4 linked regions of the Drosophila melanogaster genome follow. The protein of the gene in region 4 interacts with the protein of the main gene of each other region in a pairwise test. Each region holds a gene or a part of one and is shown on either strand. Other genes may lie near its edges. The genes, in order: RnrS, by, CG18259 and koi.

The links.
Region 1: the proteins of koi (region 4) and RnrS interact in a two-hybrid assay, tested with the Drosophila melanogaster proteins (one large-scale study listed by BioGRID).
Region 2: the proteins of koi (region 4) and by interact in a two-hybrid assay, tested with the Drosophila melanogaster proteins (one large-scale study listed by BioGRID).
Region 3: the proteins of koi (region 4) and CG18259 interact in a two-hybrid assay, tested with the Drosophila melanogaster proteins (one large-scale study listed by BioGRID).

The regions. Positions count from the first base shown.
Region 1 is NT_033778.4:11,981,692-11,987,814, forward strand, and holds RnrS (ribonucleoside diphosphate reductase small subunit), read right to left. Parts: upstream 3,703-6,123; 5' UTR 3,576-3,702; coding exon 3,525-3,575; intron 3,377-3,524; coding exon 3,128-3,376; intron 2,620-3,127; coding exon 1,738-2,619; 3' UTR 1,454-1,737; downstream 1-1,453. Other genes in the region: GalT1 (beta1,3-galactosyltransferase 1), read right to left, coding at 1-680, 745-1,033; CG34231 (uncharacterized protein), read left to right, coding at 4,380-4,472, 4,572-4,716, 4,770-5,023; rho-7 (rhomboid-7), read right to left, coding at 5,181-5,271, 5,336-5,535, 5,590-5,810. UniProt on the Drosophila melanogaster protein: Provides the precursors necessary for DNA synthesis. Catalyzes the biosynthesis of deoxyribonucleotides from the corresponding ribonucleotides.
Region 2 is NT_033777.3:9,526,719-9,535,468, reverse strand, and holds by (blistery), read left to right. Parts: upstream 1-2,457; 5' UTR 2,458-2,484; coding exon 2,485-4,647; 3' UTR 4,648-4,729; exon of another isoform or gene 4,730-6,510; 3' UTR 6,511-7,231; downstream 7,232-8,750.
Region 3 is NC_004354.4:18,779,866-18,786,288, reverse strand, and holds CG18259 (uncharacterized protein), read left to right. Parts: upstream 1-2,794; 5' UTR 2,795-2,913; coding exon 2,914-2,993; intron 2,994-3,055; coding exon 3,056-3,576; intron 3,577-3,633; coding exon 3,634-4,375; intron 4,376-4,431; coding exon 4,432-4,513; 3' UTR 4,514-5,024; downstream 5,025-6,423. Other genes in the region: CG6891 (uncharacterized protein), read right to left, coding at 5,095-5,211, 5,285-5,608.
Region 4 is NT_033778.4:6,809,473-6,818,781, forward strand, and holds koi (klaroid), read left to right. Parts: upstream 1-1,546; 5' UTR 1,547-1,703; intron 1,704-2,315; exon of another isoform or gene 2,316-2,429; 5' UTR 2,430-2,456; coding exon 2,457-2,611; intron 2,612-3,059; exon of another isoform or gene 3,060-3,222; intron 3,223-3,308; coding exon 3,309-3,644; intron 3,645-3,700; coding exon 3,701-4,281; intron 4,282-4,564; coding exon of another isoform or gene 4,565-4,842; exon of another isoform or gene 4,843-5,340; intron 5,341-5,587; coding exon 5,588-7,087; intron 7,088-7,144; coding exon 7,145-7,257; intron 7,258-7,320; coding exon 7,321-7,533; 3' UTR 7,534-8,727; downstream 8,728-9,309. Other genes in the region: CG15237 (uncharacterized protein), read right to left, coding at 1-39, 98-226; ubl (ubiquitin like), read right to left, coding at 620-663, 729-867, 927-965. UniProt on the Drosophila melanogaster protein: Component of the LINC (LInker of Nucleoskeleton and Cytoskeleton) complex involved in the connection between the nuclear lamina and the cytoskeleton. Is required to nuclear migration in eye and to anchor klar in the nuclear membrane.

The sequences.
Region 1 (6,123 bases), 5.2 Mb from region 4:
ATCGCTGCTGGCTTTCAATCGGGTTTGCGGTGCAGTGACTAAATAGGTGGACCGGTCGTGGTAATCTAGGGTATCATTGTACAACGGTATAGTTCCTCCGAGCAGAAAGTTCAGCAAATTGGGTATATTTACGAAGGTATCGTCGTCGCACTTGAGGAAGTAGACCGCGGTATTAAAGCAACTGCGGCTAATGTGCTTTAGAGCCATCACAGACTTAAGCGTCAGGTTGTTGTAGCTATCCACGAAGTTCTCCTGAATGATGTCGTTGTACTTTTCCGATTCAATGTGAATGCGATTCAGGGTCTCATTGCCCAACATGGCCTCATCTTTCTGGCGGCCTACAATGAAAACAATGCGCACTGAGGCAGTCAGAGACTGCCCCTCGCCGCTCAAATAATCCCCGTACATCTTTAAGCGATCCGGCAGTGGCGGCAGGTAGTGACCCTTGAGATGACCATGGAGCTTTCCAAACGCTGGGTAGTTGAACTCGGTGGTATTGCCCCAGGTCTCACGGATGGTATGTCGCTGAATGAAGTTGTCCACGCCGGTGCATACGGCGATTACCAGGAAGGTCTTATTCCGGCAAAAGTCCTTGGGAACAATGACGCCAGAACTGAGCCCGATATCCAGGTAGTCAGCTATGCTGCGGGAGGTCTCTGACGTCCAATCCGGCAGACCAGCTGTGAAAGCGTCAATGGATCATTTTTAAAATAAATGCGGGTATCAAGAAAACCATTGTCCTACCACTACGCTTGTGTACATCCAAGTAGACGAGCGGCAGGTAGACGAGGAGCAGCCCACAGATTAGGAAGGCGCTCAGCGTGTAGCAGCCAAGGCGTCTTAACATCCTGGGAAGCGGCATGCGATTTCTTAGCTGCCGCTTCCTCAGCTTTGCTTTGCTGCGTAGCGCTCCACTAGTGGTGACCGTCTCGTCCTCGGATCCGGAAGCAGCTGCTCCCGAGCTGGAGGAATATTCCGCTGCCAAGAGGGAGCTCTGCTCCTCGATTTTTTCTGGATTCCACCTTCTGTCCATGTGACTGGATTCACTTATCGCCACTGGTCCTCCGCCTACAATTTAATGCACTGTTCGCATTTTATCAACTATTAGGGCGCCTAGCTGAATTGGGTTGATTTAATCGCCCACTCCTGTTATTGACATCTAATACTTTTTATGGTAATAACTGAATAACAAGAATTTTATCCAAATTGATAAAAACAGCGAATGGGATTGTTCAGCACAGCTGATAGTAAAAATGCCCGTGACTATCGATAAGTTTACCTACCATATATATAACTGAAATCGAAAATTTGAAATTCGAATTATTTAAATTCTTAAATTTTCCCAATCCTTTTTATAAATTTTTTTGAAATTGATTTTCTTATTATATAATCGTGCATAAACAGTAATTTTTGAAGATTTTTTTCAGAATAATTAAAACTCAATTTTACTTGTAGTGCTTAATAATTGTCTATGTATAAATTTATTTAAAATGTTGTATGTACAATGAATTCGGAAAAGGTACGCTCCTCGTAAAAGTCAAGTGTGTAGATAGTATTATAAACGTAATTGGAGGTCCAAGTAAATGATTAGGTGAATGTGTTGAAGGTCTGTGATTGTTCTTAGCCTATGTTAAAATTAAAACGGACTACATATAATTGCCGTCAGATTAAAATATAAAGGATGAGAAGCCAGCCCTTGAGAGGTTTAAATTGCAACAATGATGTCCGGGGCCAGCCCTAGAAATCCGCGTCCAGGGTGAACACGTTGTCCAGGGGGTTGCTGACCACTCCCATGCGCTGGTACTCCCCCACCTTCTTCTCAAAAAAGTTGGTCTTTCCATCCAGCGATATCATCTCCATGAAGTTAAAGGGGTTTTTGGTGTTGTAGATCTTTCCAACGCCCAACTCCACGAGCAAACGGTCCGCTACGAACTCAATGTACTGGGACATCAGGTCGCAATTCATGCCAATCAAATTGACGGGCAGGGCATCGGTAAGGAACTCCTGCTCAATGGCCACCGCGTCGCGGATGATCTCGATGATGCGCTCGCGCTTGGGTCGCTGCACCAGGTGTTGGAACATCAGCACGGCAAAGTCGCAGTGCAAGCCCTCGTCGCGAGAGATAAGCTCGTTGGAGAAGGTCAATCCAGGCATCAGACCTCGCTTCTTAAGCCAGAAAATGGAAGCGAAGCTGCCGCTGAAGAAGATGCCCTCCACGGCGGCAAAGGCGATGATGCGTTCCCCGAAGTTGGCCGATTTGGAGGAGATCCAGGACAGGGCCCAGTCTGCCTTGCGCTTCACAGCCGGCATCGTTTCGATAGCGTTAAACAGGTACTCTCGCTGGTGTGGATCACGGATGTAAGTGTCGATCAAAACACTGTACATCTCCGAGTGCACGTTCTCCATGGCGATCTGAAAGCCGTAGAAGCAACGTGCCTCCGTGATCTGCACCTCCTGACTGAAGCGCTCCACCAGGTTCTCGTTTACGATGCCGTCGGAGGCGGCGAAGAAGGCAAGCACGTGCGAGATGAAATGGCGCTCGTCGTCCTTCAGGCGGTGCCAATCAGTAAGGTCCTTGGACAAATCCACCTCCTCGACAGTCCAGAAAGAAGCCTCAGCCTGCACATTAAAAAAAAAAGTTACAATTTTAAAAGAGATAATTACTGTATAAATTTATTATTTTTCATTTTCCACTTTAACAAGTTTTCAAGAAATGTCATCGTGCACAACGAGCTTATCAATTAAAATGCAATTAAAATGTAAACAAAGTTACTACAAAGCAATTAAAAGCGGCGGGGAAATGTAATTGGCTACATAAAATGGTATAGTATGTGATCGTTATGTGCTGCATTTCCCGCCAAAAACGAAGGCTATTGTTGACATTGAGTAAACCGTGATGCAGTGAATCAGCGGAAAGGGAGGGTCGAGAAATGTGGGAGGGGGTTGTTTAACCAAACGAAGCTATCATAAAGTCTGATTCGTGTAATCAACCACGTTGAGTACGTGACCGGCTTTTGGCGCGCTTTATCTCGAAATGCCCGCCCTTTTGATATTTTGCCGCCCAAAAAATAGATTTTCACCACCAATGCAAATGGACAGTGTTTTGCTATATGTATGGTATACACACCTTCTTGTACATCTGCCAGATGTCGTGGTACTGGATGGGAAAGATGACGAAGCGTCGGGGATTCTCGCGCAGAAGGGGCTCCAGCGACGGGTCGAAGGGGGTTACGGACTTCTCCATGAGGGAATTGGCAGACTTGCCGATGCCATTCACGGTGGAGGACTCCTTGGCCAACTGTCCGTTTGCCTCGTGTCCAATGGACATCTTGCGAACGTTGTTGGTGCTATCCGTCAGAATCTTCTTGCTCGGGCTCTGTTAACAACGAAAAACAAAGAAGGCCAACTAAAGCATGAGTATTTTTCCGCTGCGTAGCACTTTTCCCTAGGGAAATCAACACAAGCGCACTGATCGCGGTATTACGTCTATGTATAGCTGTGAACTTTATTTGCGTGTCGATTACCTTAAGCGAGAACTTCTCCATGTTGTCAGCAATGTTTTCCTTGGACGCCATTTGAGATGTTTTTGAATGGATTATTATTAGCAGGTAGGGGCGCTTCTCTGATTCTCTGGTAAAATTCACTTAAACCACGACGTGTATTAAGTGTACAGTTTGAAAGTTGTGTGGCAAATGATCTGGGAAATACAGCTACATTGGGTTTTATGCCGGGCGGCAAACTGTTTCGATTTGCCGCCATTTTTGGTGATGGGAAAACTATGGGAAAATCAGGGCTGTCGAGTGCGTCAATTCACTTTTTATAAATTTAGGGTAAATCTAATGCAATTATGGGGTGGTAGTTTTCTTTTCTTAAACCATAAATCGAATCCTTACTGCACAATTTTATGTTTAGCTTCCCAGCTTGTCACTTGAAAAATATTAATATTAATAGTTTCAAATACTAAATAAATTTTGAAATTTTTTTATCATCGATATTTCATGCAATGAGACAACCCTAGACTAATCCAGAAAACAGCTGATGAAACGCCACTTAATTAGTTTTGAGTGAAAAAATTTGGTCCTCTTGCTACAATTAGATAAAAAATCAAGGTGAAACAAAGTTAAAATTTTTTTCCAAGGACATTGACTTAAAATTAATTTTTTTTTTGGAAATCTCGAATTATTTGGAAATGCAACAGGTGCTAACATACTCAATTCAACAACTTTGAATGAATTCCATTACAGCGAATCATGTAAATAACAGTACAATAACATAACAGCTGGCTGTTGATATTTATCGATAAGTACGTTTAATCGTGGACTTGAAAATAATAATAAACAAATCCGTTTAGTTGTAGTTTTGTTTTTAATATCCTGAATATGGAAGCCTCTTCTTCTGAACACCACAAACGTCTGGAATACTGCACTACAAGATTGAAATACCGTCAGGGCCGCGAATTGAAAGCTGTCAAGGTGGGGAAATAGTAATGTTTAGTAGTAATAGTTTAGTAATAGCTTTATAGTAATAGCAATGTTTTATTGTACTTTTATTGTGTTTTTTATCCTTTGTAGGTTTATACAGTTGCTAGTGAGTCCCGTCATTTGCTGATCTTTGGGGTACCTAAAATAAATCTTCAAGCTAATCTCAGGACGAAACTACAAGGATTTGGTAAAGTGCAATCATGTATTTCGGTAACTTCAGAGATGGCTTCAAAAAGTATGATTATCCCTGTTCAAGATCTTTTTTATATAGTGTTCCTTTTGTTTCAGTGGATCTGGAAGCTTTTACAGATGTGTTTGCCGTGAAGTTCGAGCGCCTTGAGGTGGCGAGAAGAGCCAAGAAAATGCTCGATGCTCATCAGTTCTATGGTGGAATCTTGCACATATCATACGCTCCAGAACGAGAATCCCTTGAGGAACTTAGGGAGAAGATTCAGCAGCGCAGGCACGAAGTAGCTTTTCGTATTCGAAGAAATCAGAAGGATCAAACACAAGTTCCAAAAAAGAGCCGGGAAACCACATGAGTACAGGATGTCAACGATTTATTCAACTTAACTGATTTCAATGAACTTCTAAGGCAGAACGATGTCACTCTTATTGACACAGCGTAGTGCTACTCGCTACCGCTCTATTGCCTCAGCTCCCCGTCCGTTCACTTGGCGAATCCCCAAGCCTCCTGTACTATTTCTGCTTCGTCCGGCGCAGGTCATGGTAGTAATTCAGTAGACCAATGCGCTTTGCCCATATCTGTGCCCCATACGTGGCCCAAAAGCTGTAAATTACCGTAGGATTAATAAGACAACCTGTGATGGTATAAACATACACGCCAAACTTACATGCCAAACATGGCGCCGCCCAAATGCGCTGCGTGATCGAAGAACTTCCAGCCCATCACGACGCCAGCAAAGTCGATGCCCATTAGCACTTTAATACCAGCTCCAGCGGAGAATGTCAACGCGGGTAGAAAGAGAATGCTAAGTTGTGTGTCCGGATACTGGGTGCATACATAGGCCAGCAGTGTCATTATAGCTCCAGACTAAGGGAAGAGCTTTAAGTTTATAGATACTACGTGGAATAAAGGCTGTCTTACCGCACCCAGGGACATCCCCGCCTGACTCGTGGCCGCCTTGTAGAGCACGCTCATCAGACTGGAGAAGACGCCGGCGCTGAGGTAGACCGCTAAGAATTGCTCTTTACCCAACGATACAGCCGCAGCGTTGGCAAAGCTGTGCATCACGTACATATTGGCGAAAAGGTGCATAGCCGAGTAATGGCTGAATGTGGACAGGAACATGGGCCAGCAGACGACTTCTGCGAGAAGGGTATCAAACACAATTAGTTAGGGGGGTTGTAAAAAACAAATATCATAAAATACTACAAAGTAAAAAATAGTTTATAAGTCCAAAACTTTTTGAACTTAACATTTGAACATTTGTTATTCAGGTAAAACCAAAAGTTTACATAAAAAAGATGGAAAATAACAAGCTGACATAACTAGAAGAAATTCGACCACTTTCTTATATAACCATAAATAACATGGATTTCCGGTCGACTACTATTCGTCTAATACTTTTCACGTGTAATGTATTTAATTATTTTTTTAGGCGATTTTAATAATTGAATG
Region 2 (8,750 bases), on a different chromosome or scaffold from region 4:
AAAGCCAAAAATAAGACGCAAACTTCTGACAGGAAATGACACAACCCACATAGTTATAAATATATTTCAATGTTATTAAACAAAGGTAATGAATAATTCAACTTTAACTGAATGAGATCACAGATCTATATAGTTCACCAAGCCCATTCATGCGAGTGTAAGCCACATTACATGTACGCATTCGATCCAAAAGTTCGTTTCCGAGCCTTGGAAAGGATCCCCTTGAGATGCATATGACAGTCCAATCTCCAAACTTGATTAAGCGTTGGAAACTTTCGAGTGGGAAGCGAAACGACCACTTGATGCGGACATTCGCATCAATTGAATCGAATGCGTATGTTGCACACCCGAAAACCACACTCAAACTATCAGTAATAGTCCATGCGATAGCTTTCCATCGTTTTGGCCAAAATTAGATGGCCAGATGGGCCCGCAATCCCCGGTTGTCACAGCATATGGCTCTGATTGACATTACCGAAATTCCACATGACTTTGTTTCAACAGATTTGCGGCAGAAAGAGTTAACAACAACAGATGTTCGCAGCGAAAAGCTGCAAGACAAAAAGCGAAAAAAAAAATACGAAAAAGGTAAACGAGTTGCCAACTAGGGACGCAACTAAGGCCAACGAAAGAGAGCGGCGACAGGTCACCGGAGAGCGAAAGAGAGGCGGTGGGGTCTGCCCCACGCGAGTGAGCAAGCGAGAGAGCAACTTGTTTATTTGCCACCCACAACTGGCTGCTGAAAGAACAACAACAACAACAGCCATGGCAAGGAGCAGATGAAGAAGAAGATCACCTCTGCTGGCATTGACAGAGGATTTGTGCAGTTATTTCTCATACTTTATTTTTTTAAGCGCATATTTTCGCTGAATTTGATTTGTTTTCTTTATGCCATGTTGCTGTTGCTCCACTGACGTCACTTAACTGTTGGGGTTTCAATTATAATGCCTTAGCCATTGTTGTTATATTCGTTGTTGTTGTTTCGTTTGCCCACCACGACACTTTCTACAAGAAAATGTTGAGAAATCAAAAAAAGATGCGACAGCTTCTTCTCTATGGGTTCCACTGAAAGAAAAATGTAAATGGTGGAAAACATACTTCAGTTTCCACAGTAAGAGTAATAACTAATTAGGGTTTTCTAGAATAATCATCAAAATACATAAGTCTGAAAGACATTTAAATTGTTTACTGTAGTCTCTTATTAAATTTACCAATATTTTTTTCAAGTGTACGTTTGTGGCCTCTCGCTTGATGGTGTATGTGTAATAGCCACAAAAGTTCATTGGGAAAGTGCAACCTGAACCTGCTGGAACACAAGACCGCAATTGATTGATAAAGAAAACCCCATTTAAGTGGCATAAACAAAGTTCGTTTGTTTCACTCAGCGGAAAGCAAATGAAGCTCATTTAAAGAAAAATAGGCAATTTAATTGATGAAAACGCCAAGAATTCAATGGAAGAACGTGCCCGAAGTTACAGTGGGTGCCATCGGCGAATTACCATTTCAAAAAGCCCCCCAATTGAGGTTTCTTGTTACGTGAGAGAGACGGAGAGAGGTGTCCAAGAGGGAGCGATCTTCCACAGCTGTTATCAATTGCACTCCAATAGGATCGCTTCACACGTTGGTCTCCAATTGGGACTGCAATGTGCGGGTTCTTTGATCAAAATTCGCGTCCAACGTGCACGGATCGAACTTTACGGGGCTCCTAATCTGTATAGGCTTCGATTGCTTGTTTTGATTAGTTCGTGCGTTTGGCTGGGGCTCTCCTTCGTGTGTATTCGTCAATAAGTGGGGATGACATCACCGACGCTCCACTCTCTTCGACTCGCGTTCTCCACATCGCATCTCTCTCCCTGTCTCCGCTATGTGCACTCTCTCATGGAACGATCTCTCTTGGCATCCAACACCTTTTGGCGTGTACTTGTGAGCATTGGAGGCACAGTGGGCGTGGGATTATTAAATAAATACCCGATGACAGTTCTATTTATAAAGCTGTTCTTTCACTTTCGCAATATCTCTGGATTTGGTTGATACAGTTTTTGGTGTCACCAAAAATCGAAATTTACAAGTAACCAATATTGCAATTTTGTGAAATATATTGATAATGTAGTTTTAATACTTGTTATAAATGATTACAATTACTGTAAAGTTTTTTTCTATCGTACGATCGAACAAGGTCAAATGTTGCTCATACGCACTTTTGCCACAAATCTGTCAAAAATATTACCCATACGCCAGGTTGGTCGCACTATTAAAAGTTCATAATTAGAAATGTTTACCTAAAAGATGGGTTGACGAGGGCCTAGCCCACTGTGCCCACTCATGGCGAACCAGAAACTGACTTGAGGAGGTTGACTTGCTGCTTGACTTGCCACGCGAGAGAGAGGTAGAGAGAGAGAGCGGAACGCCAACGCCGACTCTACGGTTTGAGTTGTATCTTCTCGACCTTTTTTTTTGAATCAGTCTTTTGGAATTCGCGAAACAATGCGGACGCCGTACGAAGAAAGCGCTGCTGCCGCCGACCACAAATATCAATACCAATACACCGCGGCCAATAATAACAATAATTACTATAAAAACTATAATGTGAATGGCAATGGGCAGGCGAATGGAAATGGGAATCTAAGTGGAATTGGTAATGGAAATGGAATTGGAAACGGCAATGGATATGGAATACCTTATCACGCGCGCGAGAACTCGCTGCCATTTAGCTATGGCATAGCCAAAACTTCGACACCGTTGCGAAAAACTCCGACACCGACGCGAGTGGATAGTTTTCTAGACTTTGATTTCGGGCCAACGAATACGAATGTGAATTCGAATAGTTCTAGCAATAATGGCGGTACTGGCGATATGATAAAGCCACCAACACGTCTAACGAGCCCTTTGCTGGTGCGCAAAACGCTGGGCAATGCCGTTAGTCCCACCAGTTCGACCAATACCAACACCATAGCCAATACATACCACTACACGTCGAGCAGCGCAACGCCGACGCCGGTGAGAGATAATTTCGAGCAGCTGCTGCGGGAGCGACGCGAAAAGGTCTACAATGAATATAGGAATCTGGATAGGGAGTCGTCCGGGGAGCGGGCCAGAGTGGCACCCGCTCCGCCGCAGAGGCAATACTACCCGAGCGATGGCTATGGAATTGGGCTGAAGAACGATAGCAATGGAACCCTATACCGCAAGAGCCCCTCGTCTAATGGGAAATCAACGAAATACAACTACGATTTTGAGTTCAATCTGAATCTGGATGATGTTAGGCCCGAACCTACACCGTATACCACGAGGAATATTCACTTCGAGGATCTGCGGCTGGATCAGGATGTGCCAGATGGCGTGGTCAATCGGCGGACCATGGAACGCAATTATCACACAATTAACAGCTTGGAAACGACCCACAAACGCCAGCAGTTGGAGCCGTTGGAGCAACTGGGCGCCGTTTATGGCCAGAACCACATGGAGGAGACACTCACGCGCACTCGTCGCGATCTCTCCGCATCCACATCGACATCCAAGTCCACCTCGCCATTGCCGGCAATAGGAGTACCAGCTATAGCACCAGCTTCGCCCATTTATGCCACCAGTACGAAGAGAGTGAGCAACCCAAATACCAATGGCCAACAGCAGATGACGCCTAGTCCCACCAGTAGGCCAGAAACGCCCGCCTTTCCGGTCACGCCGCGCACGCCTTTTGGGGCATCATCATCATCATCTGCGTCTCTGGCGCCGACGACCCAGTTGCCCCCAGAGTCGATCTACCAAACAGGGCCACGTCGTGGCGTACCGCCTGCACTGCAGCCACTCGAGGTGTCCGCCGATTCCGTACAATTTGCCCGTAGTTCGTCCCAGTTCTGGTACAAACCAAATCTCACTCGCGAAGATGCCATCGCTCTGCTGGCCTCTGCCCAGCCGGGCACGTTCCTGGTCAGGGACTCCACCACGTACAAGGATTCCTATGGCCTGGTGGTGCGGGTGTCCCAACCGCCTCCCGGTTCACAGGAGCTGGTGCGTCACTTCCTCATCGAGCCCACGAAGGGGGGAGTGCATCTGAAGGGCTGCGATGACGAGCCGGTGTTCACTTCACTGTCCGCCCTCGTCTTCGAGCATTCCATAAGCCAGCTGGCGTTGCCATGTCTCCTCCGTCTGCCCGATCGGGATATAGTACCACCGGTGCGGGCCACAACCCCTGCCCAGCAGCATCTATTGGCCCACGGAGCAGCCACCAATGTGCTGTGGCTCTACTCCTGCGACACGGAATCGCTGACAGGAAACGAGGCCATCCGCAAGGCCATCCGCCAGATGTACGGTCAGCAACCCTTGCCGCAGCCCACGGAGGTGCACTTCAAGGTCTCCTCGCAGGGCATCACGCTCACGGACAATACGCGCAAGAAGTTCTTCCGGAAGCACTACAAGGCGGATGTTATCTCGCACTGTGCCATCGATCCGGAGAACAGGATGTGGACCAGTGAGGGCGAGTCTGACAAGAAGACCATCTTCGCCTTCGTGGCCAGGAGGTCGCACAGCTCCACGGACAACCAGTGCCATGTGTTCTGCGACCTGTCCGTCAGCCAGCCGGCGGCGGCGATTGTCTCGTTCGCCAATCGGACACTGCCCACCGAAAAGCTGCGCAACTACGTCCTGTAGGAGGGAGGGGGCGTGGCACGGGTCAACAGGTCAGCAGGCTGGATTCCACTTCCATCCGTGGAGTGGAATGGCGCACAAGCAGGTGAGACGCATGACGGGTGCAGTTTTGTTATGGGTCGTAAATTAGAGTACATTTTGGGTGCGGTTCGGCCTTGGGAGGCGAAATTGACAATTACAGTAGTCCTTCGAGAGGGTGAGCTTAGTCGCGAAATTTAAAACAAACAAATATTCTTTAGACTCCAAATTTCAAATTCTATATTCATTTTTCTAAAGGTCAAACAAAATTGGTCGTAAAAACGTTTTAAAAAGTACTTTCTAGAAACGATTTCTTTCCGGCATTTGTTTGTTTTAAGCATCGTATTTGTATTTGTCTGAAACAAATTGTTTCTCCGTGGTTTGGTTGAGACATTCTTATTTTTAGAGACTTTCCCTTGTTGTTTGTTTTAAAATAGATATTAGTTGTGCTTGCGGAACAATAATTTTGGCTATATCTCACTGCCCTTTTTCAAATTTTTGTGGGCCTCAAGCAATGTCCAGAGAAACTTTCAATATTTGCCTTGCCAAGCTGTCACTGTATCATCATCGTTCTGCGCTACAAATGGGAAACCTATTAAAAACGCTTCACTTTCTGGGGCCCTTCCGTTCGCCTGGGTTCGTCTTCAAATTGTTTACTTTACATAACGCCCTGGCTGTTTGTTTGTTTGTTTAGCGGTTTCCATATACTGCCGTAGCACACATATAGATATATATAGCTATATGTACATACATACATACGAATCCAAGAGCGCCATGTAGAAGCATTTGGCTAACATATCTTCTGGCTACACGTTTTTCGCAACGGAAGTTTCTGTCATGAGTCAGTTGCCTATAAATGATTGAGTTTCGAATTTAGAATCGAACAGAATCAAAGACATCCAACACATGCACATCCATTGCAGGGTCGCCACGTTCTGGAGGAGTGGCACCAGCCCAATTTTGGTATTTCTTTCGATTTGATTAATTCCCCCTGCTTCGTTCACGGTCATGTGCTGAGGTCGCCAGATAAGGCCATAGCGCTTAACTGTGCATTGCCATGCTATGGAGGCAACTTTTCATTAGTTGGCATTTGTGTATATATTCGCTATCAGGCCGCCAGGTGATCCACTATGCTATAATAATAGCGTCGAACAGTTGGCTGCAAATTGTGGGGCCTAAAATAAGATCTGCCCACAGAAGATATAGAGTTTATAGTTATTGCTGTTCTGCCCTGTTCAGCTTGGTTCTGTTGTTTATTTAGCTCTAAAGATACATCGTTTTTTGAATCACTTGATAAGAGCGAGAGACTCGTTGTTGATCTTGCTGGGAATTATTCTCCAACGATCGTTCGATTCCACCTTGAATTTTTTCGGAATTTTTTCACTTGAGCCTTAAAGCGGAATATGCAAATAAACAGACGGCAATAGAAATCGGTTTTCGGTCTCAATATAGCGCAAAAGTTGAAATAAATTCAGGCGAACCGAACCGGCGGGCGTCAATTGCGCATTTTAGAAAAACCGCATGCCGAACACTCAAAACATAATTCCAGGCACGTTTGCGTTTATTTTTTTCAATTATTCCACTACCGACGACGAGGTTCAGTAAAAAGTTACTGTAAATAAAACGGGAGGTTTAAAAATGGTCTAAAAGAGATTTAATATTTAAAAGAGCACTCCAACTTTTCATCAGACCCCCATTGTTTGCTCGATCAAATGATCTATTTGATCCGCAATTAAGCAATTATCCACGAGCGTGTACAATATAGATACAACCATATGTAGATACGATTGGTGGGGATTGGAATTTACGAACTTGTTTAAATCGGATTTCTTCTTTCATCTCTTGCAGGCCAGTGGAATCGGAATCATGCGGAATTATGCGGAGGAGGAGCCCAGTGCTGCAAGATGTACTAACTAATCACTTTACGAAATTGTGTCTTGCGATATAATGAGCTTAACTGCGAATATGTTAACAGGAATGATGTCAGCCGTAGTTTATTTAGACACGCACACACTCAGAAGTCGGCGATATTTATGGCGAAGCTAAAACATATGTACACATGGGTACTATCAACTTGAATTGACTAAATGCACAGTGGGACAAGTGGATGGCCGAGTTCGATAAGATTGGTAACTATTGGAAACGCCACTGATTCATATTTGTTTATATGCCCAAGTTGTAAACAAAGCCATGAAGATTGTGTTAAAATTTTTGGAAATTCCAACTGGCATTTCAAGGAATCTCGTACCACTGTGCTGGGTGGCGAATTGAAACTGATCACCGAAAGTTGACTGTTTATTAGCAAAAACAGTATGGATGTGTATATATGGGCGAGTTGTGTGTTTTTATATAGGGTGCGCTTGTCAGACAAACGGAATTAAACTAATCTACCACATAATTTTAAACCGATTAATGTTAGTTTAGAAAGTTGTTAAATAAAACCCAAAAGTACAAGCCAGAGAGCTTGTTCCCTAATTTATACCAGTAATATCTATATAAATATATGTATGTATATGCTTAAGCACTACTAATGCAGTCAATATAAATAAAGTGCAATGTTGTTAAACAGATTAGAAACCTTTTATTAATCTAACTCCTTAAACTGACTTGCGAAAAGCTCAGCGCCCAGCATCTGTTAATAATTTGTTATCTAACTAAAAATACAGCAGCGACTGCGTTCTAGATTTCAGGGCTGTTAATTTTATATATCAACAGACATCAGTGTTGTTGGGTCGGTTGGGTTGCTTTTGTTAAACAATTAATGGGTTCTGTACCCGCGGGCAATGGCAATATACAATATGCATTTGTATGAACACAATTGTTTAGTAATTTAATCTTATCGTTCGCCAGCGTCGGCGATCTCTATACGCTCAGCTAACCATAGGAAGTGTAAAGTATTTTTTGTACTCCTCCTGTCAGTCACCCTTGCATCCATTGGATTCGCATATTGCCGGAGATTCCAACAGATTCAAGATATAGGTAGTCTCCTGCCTCCTAATGGACGAGTGCAATTTGTGTTTTTTTTGTATTTTAAAAGGCAGCCCACCAGTCAAGTGTGCCAAGTGAAATGAAAACGCGTCCGTCGACTCGACCTTGAGATCAATTTGTGGCGGCGGCATGACGTCATCGCCTTTCGATGGTAGCACAACGACAGCTGCCCCACGATTTTAAAAACATTTCTTACAGAAATTTACAAATTAAATTTTAGGCTAATGCTCCCCAGCGAGATCTGTGCACCCACATTTTAATGATTTTGATTTCAGCATTTCATTTCATTTAATTTCTTGTTCTATTTTCAACGGCCTGCTAATTTCCTATATGTACATATGTATGTATTTATGTGTTCGCCTTGCCAGGCGCCCCAAAGAGACCGAAACCAGTTTGTCATGTTCTTTGCCTAAATTCGATAATTAATTGATCGCCGGAGAAACGAGAGTCGCTGAAAACGACGACAAACTCCGGTTGCATGAGCACCGCCCCGAGGTGTCGCCTTATCCAGACCAGATGATGCCCGGTGACGAAAGCAATATCCATCGAGATTCCAAGAGCCAAGACGCAGTGCAGGTTTTGTATCTTACATTTAATACATTTGGATTTGGTTGTGTGTACAAAAGTGAACATAAAATTAACGTTCGGTGTGTTGTTTTTAGATATCTACATAGCTACATACAATATCGTTCGTTTACATCATATTCAGTTAAACATAATAAATACACTTTAATAATATATACTCGCATACGTATATATATAACAAATAATACATCCAGATTTTGCAGGCCCGCATTTCGGACCTCCCGCAGGCAGATTCAACATTTCGCGTGAAAAACAGAATTTTGTGTGTACAAAAATACATAATAGGTCCCACTTTCGATTTCGTTTGGATCTAAACTGTTGGAATGCGAATTGATAGAATTTCCAGTTTCCTCAATCTTGTCGTGCTTCGATCTGTGGAAATCTTAAAGTTTGTCAATTTCATTCCGCATTGTGATGTCCATTTCGAAATCAAGAAAGGGGGGTATAATAAAAAGCTCAGAGAAAACTATGTAGGCTCCTCTATTCGTGTGCCTAATTCAATATGGTTTGGGTGT
Region 3 (6,423 bases), on a different chromosome or scaffold from region 4:
ATTTTGTGTTTAGTGAGTAAAATTTTTGTCTTATTATCATAGAAATTCAGCAGTCCCACTATAGACACAACAAAATGTATGGTATAGAAACTGATTTTACAATTGCTTGTATAATATTTCATAAAATGTACAGTTTTTAAATTTCATAAAATTAATTCATAATAATTAAAGAGAAAGGAGCAGTTTGGTAAGCAGTATATATAAAGTAACTTGGAGGTTCAGTGCTTCACGGAAGAGCTCAATGTCCAGCTCGGCCTCCACTCCCGCCTGAAGTTCCACGGCAAAATTCTGCAAAAGATTAGTGATGAGAGGATCTATTTCTGCCTCTGGGCTCTGGCATCTCTAGCTATTGGCTACTCACGTTGAGGACATCCTTGATCAGCGCCTTGTCCGTGGACATCTTGGCCCGCTGGATAACGCCCACCTCCTGCCCGATCCACGTCAGGAAGATGAACTTTTTGTGCTTGGACATCTCGTCACCCATCTGGTTGCGTATGTAGCCAGCTGGATCCCCTAATCGGTCTTCGGACCTGACCACGGCTCTCCAGAACAACGACCTGAAGTGCATACTCACCAGGATGAATGGCAAGATAAACTTGCTGCTATCCGCATTTGAGACTTAACCGACATAACCGTCACAAGAGAGACCAAGAGCCTAGTTTCTGAACATTCAGCCCTTAACAAGATGATAGAGTTGTACGAAGGGGTCACTAGCGAGCACCGCTTGACGAGCATTGCTACCCAGACTAAAGTACAAAAGCCTACCAAAAACGCTTCTCACAATGCGCAGGTGTCCAAGGGACAAGTGCCCAAAGTTCTGGCGCTCAAACCGCACGACTGGTAGAGGAGAAGGGAAGGCGACATCCAGATCAAACGAGTCCAATACAGGCAGCTACGCATCTGTCGCCAAGAATGCTAGCACGAGTGCATATTGGACCAAGGTGAAGCCTATGCGCCCGCGTAAAAAGCCTGAGGCACGGATCGTGAAGAAGACGGGTGAGGCTTGGTACGCAGAGATGCTCCGGAAACTAAGATCGGACCCGAGCCTTAGCGAACTGGGCAGAAGAATTCGGAGAACTCAGCTAGATGAGCTGTTGCTCGAAGTAGTGGGAAAAGCCTCGGGAAGCTTTCCCAAGTATAAAAGCGATCTAGAGGCGACGGTCAATGATTTGGCATCTGTGCGGCAGCTCAAAGAATAGCACTATCCTGCAGTGGACTGGACGAGGATACGATAGTAGAGGAGCATCAACAGGCCCTTGGGAGTAGAGCTGCACTGTTTTGCAGACGATGCGGCAATTACAGCAGTCGCCAAAACAATTGCAGAGTTGCAGGACAAATGTAACACCACGATTGGAGCTGCCGTCCACTGGAAAGCCGGGCTAGCAATAGCGGCTCGCAAGACCGAAGCAGTAAGTACTAAGCAGCAGGAAAAAGGTGGAGAATATGCTAGTCCTCTGTCAATGCGACACAGGTGACCTCCCAAGAGTCCCTCAAGTACCTGGGTGCTATGATAGAACCACGCGAGTTACGGCAGCAAGAATGCATCAGTCACAGTTTCTTCATTGGCTAGACTGGTGCCCAACATCGGTGGTCCAAGCTATCTGGCCAGGAAACTGGCTTCGCTGCTGTACGCTGCACCAATCTGTAGCAATGCTACAAGCAGGGGTTCATACCTGAAAGGAGCCATGGCCCTCAGGCTCATTAGAGGATTCAGGACAATATGTGAAGACGCGGCACTAACTCTGGCAGGCCGCCAATTGATCGGAGATCAAGGCTCTCGGCCTAAAGCGGGGTGGCGCTTACCGACGAGTGGCTGTTGGGTGAGTGGCAGAACAGGTGGTCTTACCAGCTCATTCCTGAGTCGGCGGTTTGGGCAGAGTGCCAACACAAATGCTTGGACTACCACCTAACCCAGTTTCACACGGACCATGGCTGCATTCGGGCCTATCTACGTCGATTGTTCTGCGTCATTTGTGAGAAAACAGAAGAGCATGTGCTAATGCACTGCTCCAGGTTTGCGATGGAGAGGGAGCAGCTAAAGACGAAGTCAGGTGCTCCGTTCAGCCCTAGTGGCTTGTTCGCAGCTATATTGGCAAAGAGCGAGGCATGGGAGCTGGGACACAGTCTAATCATTAAAATGATTAAACGTGTCCGATCAGACGAGATGGCCAACAGAGAAGGTGGCTAAACCCGAACAGGTGTCCTGTGTGGTGGCGAGTGAAGAATACTACCTGAGCGTTCCCGGCTTGTCGTAAAAAGCGACTAAAGGGTGAAAAGAGGCGCACTCATGGCCTACACTGAAGGAAGAGAGTGTGAAGCCAAATTCTGTTCATCGAAGTCATACAATGGCAGTCCCGGTGAGCGTTCAAGGACTGAAGAGCACACGGAGGTTTTTGTTTTAGTATGTGGTGTTGTTTTTGTTGTTGCGCAGGTATCAGTGTTACCAGACCAGACGTCGGCTAGCACCTAAGCGCGATTGTTCTCGGTTGTGCGAAGGGGCACACTGTGAATTAGTGACTCGTAATGTCAGTGGATAAAACGTATTATGTAGCTTAATATATCATTGACAGTTCTGAGAATTTTCAATCTTCTACAAACTAATGTTAAGACATGCAAAAATTGTTTTTGTAAATGAACAAGTAGTTTAATAGTATTAATCGTATATTTGTATAAGTGTTAGTATATTGCTGTTTCTTTTTTACATTTTATATCCAGAATAACATAGATGTTTTTAAGCGATAGTTGCTATCGATAGTGCTGGACGATAGTTTGCCACCCCAAGTGTCACCAGTGAAACGCCAGTCCTATTTTTTTTTTACGAACGTAGTTCGAATAGTCAGGATAATTTGAATCTGGTTGTTTTTACTTCACACATAGCTTAGGAAAAGGTGTGAAAAGCGTATACTGTGAGCCATGGACATCGATTTGAGTCTGGACGAGATTATAGAGCGGAAGCGCGGGCAACGCGGCTATCGTCCCCTCGACAGAAAGTTGTAAGTACATTTACAGGACAGCCGAAAAAATAGAATGTCACTCAATGCGTTTTCCATTGCAGCAATGCGAACTTCTCCAAGCCGCGCCAGCTGCTGAACAAGCCTTTTTTCAAGCCATCGGGTGCCCGAGGATCTCACTCTGATACGCCGGCAAAGCGCACCTTCGATGCCAGAAACACGATCGCCGCGAAGACACGGGCCAAGATAGCCGATGCCCGGGATCTGATCAACAAGAGCGTGCGCGACTCGGGCATCGATGCCCGCCAGCTGTTGCTGGAGCGAAAGAAGGCCCGTTCGGCGGGCCCAATACTTATTGATGACGAAGAAGAGTCGTTTGAGCCATCACATCGCGCACGCGGAAAGGGAGTGCACATCGGTCAGTTTGGTCACCGCCTTAGCATGTCAAACCATGCGGACGGCACCATTCAGGCGAAATGGGACTCGGACGACGGGGTCGTTGAACTGGGTAACCACATGTTGTCCGGCTTGCGTCGAACCTTTGACCCCAGATCCCATAAGCCGGGCAAACCCTTTGCTCCACGACGCTATATTGATCTTGATAATATGCAGGACCTCGAGGATGGTTAGTTAGTGCCTTTCTCTGCCAAGCCGTTCCTAAAAAGCACTCTTCTACTTTCAGAGGAAATATCTCGCACACTGCACTTAGGGCAAATGAAGCAAGCGTCGCCACGCTACTCAATTGGTGGGCTCGACCTGAACCGCGGCGACGACGTGGAGATGTCCATGGCCCCACTAAATAACAAAATAGATAACAATGCATTCTCCATTTACGAGGCGGCCCGCAATCGCATTGAGCGTCCTTCGCTGACCAACCGACTCGTAGTTGGACGCTCAAATACCACCAAGGAGCCTCTCGAGCGCCGCCACCGCGACACAGCAAGCACAAGTAAACTCCCAGAATCGCTGCGGTCTCGTCTGTTTGTCGGTAAGAGGGATCCTCACATTTCTCATGGCATCTACGCCAACGAGAACCGGAGAAAGGCTGTTGGTGGCGGTGGTGCTAGGGATAGCGATAGCGGTACTGATAGTGATGGTGATGCAGCTGCTCCATCGAAGAACAAGCGCCGTTCGCCATCCCCATTGTCGCTGCGTACGTCGAACACAAAGGATGGATACCGCCTGCTGGTGAGCAATCTGCATACTAACGTGACTACTGCGGATATTCGCGAGCTTTTTAGCGACATCGGCCCAGTGTACGACGCTCGTGTGGTGCGTCCCGGCACCGCCGAAGTTATTTACAAGTCACTGGAACATGCCGAGAAGGCCGTAGATACCTATCACCATCGTCAGTTCGATGACCAGCCCATGCACTGTGTGCTGGTTAATCCGCACTCCTCCCGTCGCTCGGTGCACAAAGCCAGGTGAGTGATATGCTTTAAAGATACCAAGCAGTATTGTTCAACGTTCTCGGCCGTAGCTCTCGCACCGTGACCACAAACTCGTCTGGCGTGGAGGTGGACATCGATGCACTTCACTCGGTACTCTTCAGGGTCCGCTAGGAAGCGAGAGGCAGAGCCCGGGAACTAAAGCAACTAGATAATTTTTCTCATCATTTTCATCATCTCCGTAGTATTTAGTTCAACAACGTAGTCCATTTTCATTTCGCGCTTATTAAATTCGAATCGATCCATCCAGCGTATGTTCAGAAAACCAGACTAGTTTAAACGAGAACATTTCTTTACTATAGAAACTTGAATTTTCTAATGCAAATTCTGGCATATCTGTCCACTTCAGTATTCAGTATTAGGTGGCTAAAATTTTTGTCTTATCATCAAAGTAATTCATCAGTCCCACTATATACACAATTAAATGTATGGCATTGATAATGATTTTGCATCCGCTCTTGAAATTTGGTATTGAAAACTTTTCTTTTACCTTTTTTGAATGACACTATGGATTATGATTATACGATAAATAAGAGGACCCAGTAATGTTACAATTGCTTGTATAATATTTCATAAAATGTACAGTTTTTAAATTTCATAAAATTAATTCATAATAATTAAAGAGAAAGGAGCAGTTTGGTAAGCAGTTAAGAGTTGCAAAAAAAAATGTATATGTAAAGTAACTTGGAGGCCGCTTAGTTATCCCGGATGCCCGTTCCGTAGTTGGCGCCGCCGGCACGGTTCAGTGCTTCACGGAAGAGCTCAATGTCCAGCTCGGCCTCCACTCCCGCCTGAAGTTCCACGGCAAAATTCTGCAAGAGATTAGAGATGAGAGGATCTATTTCTGCCTCTGGGCTCTGGCATCTCTAGCTATTGGCTACTCACGTTGAGGACATCCTTGATCAGCGCCTTGTCCGTGGACATCTTGGCCCTCTGGATGACGCCCACCTCCTGCCCGATCCACGTCAGGAAGATGAACTTTTTGCGCTTGGACATCTCGTCACCCATCTGGATGCGTATGTAGCCAAAGGCGCGCTCCGAGTCGCCGAACTGCTGTCGGAATTCCTCAAAGCACTGACCGCGCGCATGTACAATAATCTGGGCGCCATCGAACTTGAATACCGCCCACTCGGTGTCTGTCAGATCGGAGCGTACATCCTCGTAGGCCTCGCGAATCGAGTCCTTCTCCAGCGACGTGGCCAGCGGCATCTGCGAAAGAGCAAGGGGGAAGAGGATTATAAGCAAGCGAAGAGGGGAACTATAAGCAACTTTCAGACGGAAGTATATATCTTAATCATGTATTCCAAGTCCGAATCGTTTCGCCAAGGCGAATGGATCATCCGCTTTGGCCCATCGATAGCGAAATGTATTGTATGTACTCAATGCGGGGCCAAGTACTCTTGACGGCGCCATCTATGAGTCAGATTTAAGCGGTGCTTTCGCTTTCGATGGTTATATTACATTCAATTCGACTTGTTTCCGTGTCAGGCAACCTCAAGTCGGCCAGGGGAATAGGCACGCCATTGCATCGCCCACTTGCATTACGTTCGGGCAGATTCACGGAAAGCAATTTGTTGCCGCTTTAGTGCTTTATAAACATAATACCAGCGGGCCAGCGGAAAAGTAGCCAATGTAAATATGTACATATTTCGAAGAAAAAATAAAGGCTTTATTATGATAACATACTGGAACATACCCGCATATTAAATTACAGCATTTTTGATAATGATATCAGCACACACATATGAGGGTTCAGGGTTCTGGTTCAAAGCCCAAAAATATGATGATTTAAAAATATCGATATGTAAATGAATTTAAATTGCTTGATAAGTTCGAATGGCTTGATAGTGAAATGTAAAAAACCAAGTCTCAATACGATTTTGGTTAGCTAAAGATTAATTTTAATTGTGGTTTATTAAGTGATCTTTGGGGTAGCATTATGTGCACAAAGTTAGGCTCAGCTTAGATGCGTGGAAAGCGTGTAAAGCGATTGGATCGATGGTTTTTGATACGAGTATACTTGT
Region 4 (9,309 bases):
CGGCTGCAGATCTGTGCCGGCCGTCTTAAGGGACTCTCGCTGTACGGTTTAAGTTTATAACAATTTATACAGAAAGCGGTGTCTGGAGAGAACTCACCCAGTTGCTCCTTTCATCCTCATAACGCCGCGTCTGCGATTCTTCGTTTACGGAGGCAGGAGCCATGTCCAACCAGTAGCGATTGGCCACGGAGACTTTGAGCGTGGGAAAGAATGGAATCATTGACATTTTCGACGGAATCTTGAATGCGCTGTTTTCAATATTTGTTGTTCTTTCTCTGGAAGCCTTTGATGCGATCTGGCAACGCCGCAACATACGCTGTAAATAATACCAATTTTACAGGGGCGTAGTCGTAGGGGCGCATTAAACGCAAATTACAATATTAATTGTAATTGTAATTCATCAATCTAACTATGTATTTTGTTATTGTCAAGGGAAGTCCGATAACCAAGGGCTTAATACAGCTTACTCAAAAATATATATCTTCACTATTACAAATTGACCTTAAGAATCAGAACATAACCAAAACGAATAATATATATTATTCAAAATCTTTTTATTTATTAAAGAAGCTATAAAAATTGGACAAACTAGACACAGGAACGGTATTCCCTTGCAGTTTTATTGGTAGTAAAGTTCCAGATTCATGCCATCGTGAATTTCATCTAAGAAAGCGAAAAAGAAATGCGGGTAAAGCAAGGCGTTACAAGGACACTAAACAAGGGCTTACAGTCAGATAGGCGAATCGGGTCCTTGAAGATTGTGTACCACTTCTTCAGGACAATCTTCTCGTGCTTTGTGCCCGTTTGTGCCGCGATTAGTTTCTTGAGGTCCCCAATCGTGTCGTCCGGGTTGCACTTGACGCGCACCTGTGGGTTAATCGTTGGTTAACGATGCTTGCAGTTGCCTTGGGTACTTAGCTGCTTACCTTCTTGCCAAGACGATCGTTACACGTTATTTCTATCATATTTTATGGCTTTGCTAGACAAATCACAACAATAAATTCTTGATTTGTTGTGGTATTATTGCTTAGGGTTGTCAAATACCCTTTACCGAATACCGAGTGGTTTGAGGGATCGCTAATTGTCCGCAATGCTATCGATATTTTATTTAATTTTAAATATGTTTAAATAACAATCATATAGAAAGTCGAAGTTAAAGATATCAGAAGTCTGAAAGTATACTTAGAAAGCTCAATTGCTTGTCATGACGCAAATCTATCACATCCTTGTAAAACGATAATATTTGTTAACAAATTTATATTTAAATTTCAGTCTTCTTCTTAGTTATCAAGCCAGAAGTCGAATGTTTCGGCGTTAATAGAAAAATAATGTATGTTTGCATATTTGCACACCTCATTCAAATTATTTTTCTTTGTTGAACAAAAGATAAAAGTGTAAAAATTAAATTTTTTATTCTTGACCCATTATTTCTCTTGGTTAATGAAAACAAATTCCGTTTCTCAACGTTCCCTTTAATAATCCATGTGAACAATCGATAGGCGGCGAAACATCGATGATTGCTAGAATAATCGATGTGTCTTCCCCGTTCATTCGAATTTTTTCGCCGCTCGGAATAGACGTGATTTTGCCGTCGTGACGGTGGAGGCTATTTTTAAAACGGTCGCGGCGCTTGCAAACAAAATTCATATCCAGCTATTCAACGGAGGAATTCATTAGTACGGCAGTACAAGAAATATTACTAAGTATGTCACATATTTGCGGGCAAACTGCCGAAAGCACTGTGCGGAGTTTTTGTTTGTGTGCGTGCGTGCCTCATTTTTACATTCACGTACATACATATGTACATATATGTACGCTATGACGCAGCTGTGGAAAACTTGTTTGGGTTTCCATTTCACCGAATCACGGAATCAACGAATATTTGCGCCTGTGCTGCGAACTCATTTTGGGCAGTAAGCCATTGTATTGATTATCGCGCGTTGTTTGTGGATGGCGTGGTCCGCCGGAGCACCCTGTAGCGTCTACATCCCTACCCCGCTCCCTGGAGTCCGATATCTGTGCGCGAAAGGCCGGGCGGGCGTCGTTTTCGGCTATGTGGCCCAACACCAATGGATCCCCACGGTCACTGGCAGCAATTCGCGATCCGAAATGCTCCGCCCTATTTTTAGACGCGGTCTTTGCGGCCTGCCTACTTACCTACCTCCCCAATGCATTCTAATTAAAAACCGGGCACTGCGCTCATTTCCACACGCATTGCATTGCATAATGCGGCATTAATGTGGCGGGGAAAGCTCGCTTCGGAAAGCACTCGAGCATTGAAGTGAAGAGACCGAATGTTTTCCAGCTGCCCAATTGTAAACAACCCACGCCTAGCACGCACACACACGCACACGCACACACACACAGACTGGTTTTAATGTTTACTCCAAATAAATCGTTGCCCATGTTAATTATTTGTGTCTTCGCAGGGCCCGAGCACTGGAGGGAATCTAATCATGAGCGAAAATACATACCAGATAGAAACGCGTCGGCGGTCGCGTTCCAAGACCCCCTTCCTGAGATCGAGCTGCGACCATGAGAACTGTGAGCACGCCGGAGAGGAGGGGCATGTGCACCACCTCAAAAGGAAATCGGCGGCCCCCAATGTGCAGTAAGTATCTGGGATACTCCCGAAATAGGCCTACGGACGAAGCCCTTTATCGCGAACCCATAACATTATTTTTAGCCCTTATAAGTAGTAAAATTGTAAGCATACAATATGTTTACGGAGTTCGAGTCAATTTCATTTTGAGAATTAGGAGAATTCAGTTTAAACTCTATAATTATTTCCTATTTGGTCCTGAGTCACCTTTTTCTATACTGACCATTGGTTTCAGTAAGCAAGTTGGACTGTAGTAAGACACATCCATAGCGACTGTATGTTTGTATGCCGTGTGCTGCCGCCATGACGTCACCTTTTTGTTATTCACGCTCGCCGCGAATTTGAATTTCGAAGCGGGTAGAAAACGAAGGCAAAGCCGCATACAGGGTGCAGCATCTGGTCGAGCTTCGTTAGTTTTTGGCGCCTATTTCGAGAGCGCCTGGTCGGTCTGATGATCAGTCTTCAAGACTCGATGACGACATTCGGAGTCCAACGTCGGCCGTCAGAAATCGTTTTCACGTTTTAGCCTCTAAATCGAGCATGCTGGGGTGGGCTAACAGTCGTTTGCGCTGAAGGCCAGCGGCGGTTATAAGCATATTTTTGTGTTTTTGTTTTGATACGTTGTACTCGTCGTTTCAAACGATTCCGAGCACGTTATCACGGACTTACTGAAATATTTTTCCCAAATCTTACCTCTTCTCTGCAGAACGATAATAGAGGAGCATATAGTGGAGTCGAGTATCAGTAAGAAAACCCGGGCAAAAGCGTTCGCCCAGCTGACCTCGGACTATTCGAGCGACGACATGACTCCGGATGCCAAACGCAAACAGAACTCGATCACGGCCACAGTCACGTCGATTCTCACCAAGCGATCCGGCGGCGCCACATCGACACCGCGGAACAGAAGCCAGCTGGAGACCACACAAAACACGCTGAATTCCGCCCAGGAAAAGCTAAACCAATCGAACGGTAACCTCAGCTCGGGAAATGTCAGCGATTATCTGGCCTACATCGAGTACAGGGATGCTGGTGAATACTGGAAGTGAGTGAATCATTTCTACACATTTTAAACAGTATACTAATGATGCTATTTTGCAGCAAAACTCCCAAGACGGACTATACCTACTCAGAACTGTCCCCTCACCGACGCCAGTTGGCGCCAGGAATTGTGGCCATGCCCAATATGTCCAGAAAGAGCCTAGAGAACCATAACGATCGAGTCAACTACATGGTCCAGCAGAACCCTGCGCAAGAGGAGTTCATCCGCCGCCGCTACCAGTCCAAGTATACCCAGCAGGTTAACTATGACTCCGCAGATGAACTGGACGCCACATTTGGGCAGCAAAAGCAGAGCTGGTGGCTTATCCGCCTCATCCAACTGGTTGTTAGCAGCATTACCACCGTGTGGAGTCGGGTGACCAATCTCTCGGCCACGGAGACGACTGCCTATCAAAACTACCACGCTAAGCGCCAGCAGAGTCAACAAGTTGGACTTTGGTGGAAAATAGTACAGACCATCGGAGGAGGACTTGCAAGTTTGCTGCGCTACCTGTATGTTTTCATCGGATCGGTGCTGAGTTTGGACACGTGGTTGCTGCGATCCTCGGATGCGGAAAACAAGTCGAAAAAGCGCTTCCTCATATTTCTGCTGATTTTGTTGCCCTTGCTGCTGCTGTCGGGTGAGTAGGATTTAAAGCACCGTCCGATTTTTGATGTAAAGTAAAATATGTTAGAGCGTGTGCCGTGACCTTGTACCGGTTCGAGAATTCATACTACATGCATATAGATCACCTCCAGTCGTTGTATTTATAAACTCGTCTGGTCGTTGGCAGTCGCGTGACGCCATCGATAATTTGTTAGTAAAATCCCGCGGATCAGATTTAAGTGGCCATGTGATGACATATTTTATTTTCCATTCACCGTCTGCCAAGGTTAAACGCCTAATTTGCTTTGCCTTTGCAGGTCTGTTCTATTACATACACCCCAATGAAACTTTCCCACCCAAATCCCTGTCCGAATACACATTCACCCTACCTGAGTTGCCCAAAATCGATGTGAAAGACTACCTGAACCAGGAGCAGTTCGAATCGCTACGCTCTCAGGCCGCCGAGCATGCGGTCCGCGTTCGCGATTGGGCCGACGACTACGTTTTGTACTTGAGAACCATCGGTCAGAACGTGGTCAACAAGGGTCGTCAGTTATTTCAGGGCGATGATAAAGTCTATTATGAGCGTGTGTAGGGAACATCTGCAATGGGCAGGCTACAGCTACCAGATTTAGTGATCTGGTTGGGTGCAACGCCCCTTGCACTTAGACAAATATGAGAAACTTTCTTTATGAACAATATGAGTACAAAATAAAGCATTTGATCCGTTTTTTGTCCGTCTGCTTGACCCGCAGTTTTGCGCACTTACTTTATAGTTTTTCGTCCCGTCATTTACCCACTTCATAGGCAAACCCACCTCTCATACCCCACCATACTAACCGACACAATTCCCAACAAAATGCAACATCACAGGCTGATGGGAGAAGGATAGAGCTCGCCGCTGTTCAAATTGTAAAACTTTCGTAATCGTTAACTTCATTCTTGTCCAACAATTAGGGCCGTTATCCGTCTGGGTTAGTGCCCTAACTAAATCTTACTTGTTGTTAAACAACGTTTAATTGTAATTTGTGCACTGTTTGCTTTGTAATAGTCTATACAAAAATAAATCGCAAACAATTTCATATGAAACATCAAGTACAAAGAAGAGTTGTTTGTTTTATTTGCCATTTGTTGGAAGTTCGCTAAATGGTAAGTAAGATGTAAACAAAGCAATATTAGTTGGCCAGAATCGAACTCTATCCTTCTGCATTTGTGTTGGAATAACCCCAAAAACGAGTTCCCTGTTACCTCAGTCCGGTTGATAATTGAAGTTGGTAGGGACTGTAAATGTAGAAGGATTGCCAACTAATAGTGCTATGTTTAATTTTCTCCTTCCCCAGGATGGTTGCTCTTGCAGGAGGATCAACGTAGTGCTTACGTTCAGCGTGCGGAAGCACTGTTGCCGCTGCCACTATCTATTTTCGGCTCCCTACGTAGTCGATTTTCAAATGCTGGAGCCACCTTGAAAAGTTGGATGGAAGTGCCCACCGTCAGGAGTCCCCAGCGGGAAGCCGAGGCCATTAAGGTAAACATGGCCAGCATTGAACAGAACATCCAGAAAGCCTTGACTGCCGAGGAATACGAAAATATCTTAAACCATGTAAACAGCTACGTGCAGCAGTTGGTCGAGCTGAAAATGCAGCAGCATTCCAAGGAGCTCGCACCGCAACAGATTGAACTCTTTGTTAAGCTGATGAAGGAAAACCTCAAGCAGATTATGTACAAAACGGAGCTAAGCGAAAAGGATTTGTCTGATCTGGCCATAAAACTGAAACTGGAGCTGCAAAGCTCAGGCGGTTGGCAAGATGGAGCGAAACTATCACAAGCTAACTTAGAGGAGATAACCAAGCTAATTAAAGCAGAGGTTCACCTCCACGAATCGCACTACACCATTCAATTGGACAGGATAGACTTTGCATCCCTGCTGGAGCGTATTCTTGCTGCGCCAGCATTGGCAGACTTTGTAGATGCTCGAATAAGTCTTCGGGTGGGAGAGCTCGAGCCAAAGGAGAGTTCCGGTTCCTCAGATGCAGAAGTCCAAATTGAGCGTCTGAACAGGGAAATCGCCTTCATTAAGTTGGCTCTCTCTGACAAGCAAGCGGAGAACGCCGATCTGCACCAATCAATCAGCAATCTGAAGCTCGGCCAAGAGGATTTGCTGGAACGCATACAGCAGCACGAACTTTCCCAGGATAGGCGCTTCCACGGGTTGCTGGCTGAAATAGAAAACAAACTGTCTGCGCTTAACGACTCGCAGTTTGCTCTTCTCAACAAGCAGATCAAGCTATCCCTTGTCGAAATTCTGGGCTTTAAGCAATCCACCGCTGGCGGTTCCGCTGGCCAATTGGATGACTTCGATCTGCAGACCTGGGTACGCAGCATGTTTGTGGCCAAGGACTACCTGGAGCAGCAGCTGCTAGAGCTGAACAAGCGCACCAATAACAACATTCGCGACGAGATTGAGCGTTCGAGCATCCTGCTGATGAGCGACATTAGCCAACGACTCAAACGGGAGATTCTTCTGGTTGTGGAGGCCAAGCATAACGAGAGCACCAAAGCGTTGAAGGGCCATATCCGCGAAGAGGAGGTGCGCCAGATAGTCAAGACGGTGCTAGCTATTTACGATGCCGACAAGACGGGCCTGGTGGACTTCGCCCTGGAGTCGGCGGGCGGCCAAATCCTTTCCACGCGTTGCACTGAGAGCTACCAGACAAAGTCAGCCCAGATATCGGTGTTTGGAATTCCACTCTGGTATCCCACCAACACGCCGCGGGTCGCCATTTCACCCAATGTGCAGCCAGGGGAATGCTGGGCATTCCAAGGGTTTCCCGGATTTCTAGGCAAGTCGCGGGTAAATAGTAATTGCTAAAACAGTCCTTATAGTTTTCTTCCCACAGTGCTAAAGCTCAACTCGTTGGTGTACGTCACTGGATTCACCCTAGAGCACATACCGAAGAGTCTATCCCCCACAGGAAGAATAGAATCAGCTCCTCGCAACTTCACTGTCTGGGTAAGTTTGACTAAGGGTGAAAGGAAGTGGTGCATTTCTAATACGACTTATCCATCAACTCAGGGCTTGGAGCAGGAGAAGGACCAGGAACCCGTATTGTTCGGCGATTACCAGTTTGAGGACAATGGTGCTTCCCTCCAGTACTTTGCCGTTCAAAACCTGGACATCAAACGGCCGTACGAGATCGTCGAACTGCGGATCGAGACGAACCATGGCCATCCCACCTATACATGCCTCTACCGGTTTCGCGTGCACGGCAAGCCGCCGGCCACATAAATCTGTTCAAATCTCTTCTAGTGACCTAAGTACTGCCAGGTGTACATAATGTCTGTGCCTTAAAAAGGAAACTAAACAATATATCACTGCGAGATGTGGATCAACGGAGCCCAGCCGCTTTCAACAATGCGAACTATGTAAAAAGTAAGGCTATATAGATTGTAAGTGTTTTGTATCATATCGTAGATTTGAAGTGTTTAAATCACATTAAGGTTAACTTGTACATAGCATATTATTTAAGTCAGGACTAGAGTCCCTATAAGTACTATAATATTTATTAGTATTTAGTTATTTCCCTGAAATCAATCATCGTTCCTTTAAGTCTACTCTACTTACGTATGCAAGTTTCCAACCCGTAAACGTAGCACTATACCCCAGTTTATAAACAAATTTCAAATTCCAATCTCGGCGTCAAAAAAATGATCTTGTCCTGAATCAGACTGATCTTCTAACTTTATCCTAATCCAATCTTCCTCGGCCAGAAGCTTTTCTTTAGAAACTTCTTTAACGTTCAATTATGTTTAGAATCAAAGCTTTATGCTGATTGAGACGAGAAGTTGATCATGGCCTGGTCTCCAAGCGGAAGCTGTGTTTACTTTAAGTTTTGTTATCTATCTTATCGGGTACCTAAGTGCTGGCAAAGGCAATGACAAAAACAAAGACAAAGGAAATGCCGCCGAGATTGAAATGTGAAATTTGTTTATAAACTGGGGTAGGGTGCTATGTTTTCGGGTTGGATAACTTGCATATCTTTTACCATGTTTGCCATGTTTAAAAGCGTTTTGAAGGTAATAGTCATAGTTTGTCTAAGCCACACACTTGCTGGAAATGTATAGTTTAAGCTATATCTAAGCTAAAATGTTTTACCATGAAAACTTGCAAATTCCTTATAAATGCGATAGCGATTTGAATTCACACCTCTAAAATAGTGACAAATAAAATTGAAACTCACTGAATAACTCGATCGAATAAAAGCTGCCTGCATCCCTCCCAATGAAACAATCTATTTCAAGTTTTCCTTACTTGTCGTATACGTAATATGTCTAAAGAGTGAACCCAAAAATAGTTGATAATTAAAAATATAGTTTTCTCTTGTTTCTATAAGTTTACTTAATTGGCTAAGTTTGTATCTACTTCCTGCGTTCATTAAGGTTTTTCACCATTTTTAACAATAAACACATTGCTGTGAAAAAACGTTTTCTTAATCAAAAGGCAGGCGAAAAAATGGCTGTCAAAGCCATGGGAAGTAATTAACCTTTGCTATCCGGCTTCTGTAATTAGTTATTTCTGGACGCCAGCGAAGGATTGGGAAAAAAGGATGCTCAGTTCAAAATCATTTGCTTGTATCCTTTGCTATCTACAATACATTTAGATAGTGTGTAGAAAATGTCCATTTAAATCGGATTTAATTGCATAATGACGCATTTTACTCTTGACTGCAGTTGCTTATAATTTGCTAACGATTTCCATGTTATTGTTAAGCCGATTTGGTATAAATGATGATGCAGGACTTGTGCTCCAACCTGATGAATATATTAAGTGCATTTCTGTTTCAGGCAGACTCGTCTTCGGTAATTTAATATGAAAATACCTTTGCAACTGTTGACTCCGCACGGATGTGTCATTTCGTCTGGGGTTAATGCAAATTGTCTTTTAATTTGTTGTGCCAGCAAATTCCTGGCGCTGGCAAGTCAAAGGATTTCATCTTCAAGCGTCAGCGAAGGTATGCACTTAATTAAAGCCAGCTGACTGTCTCAAACAGAGCTGATGTGATGG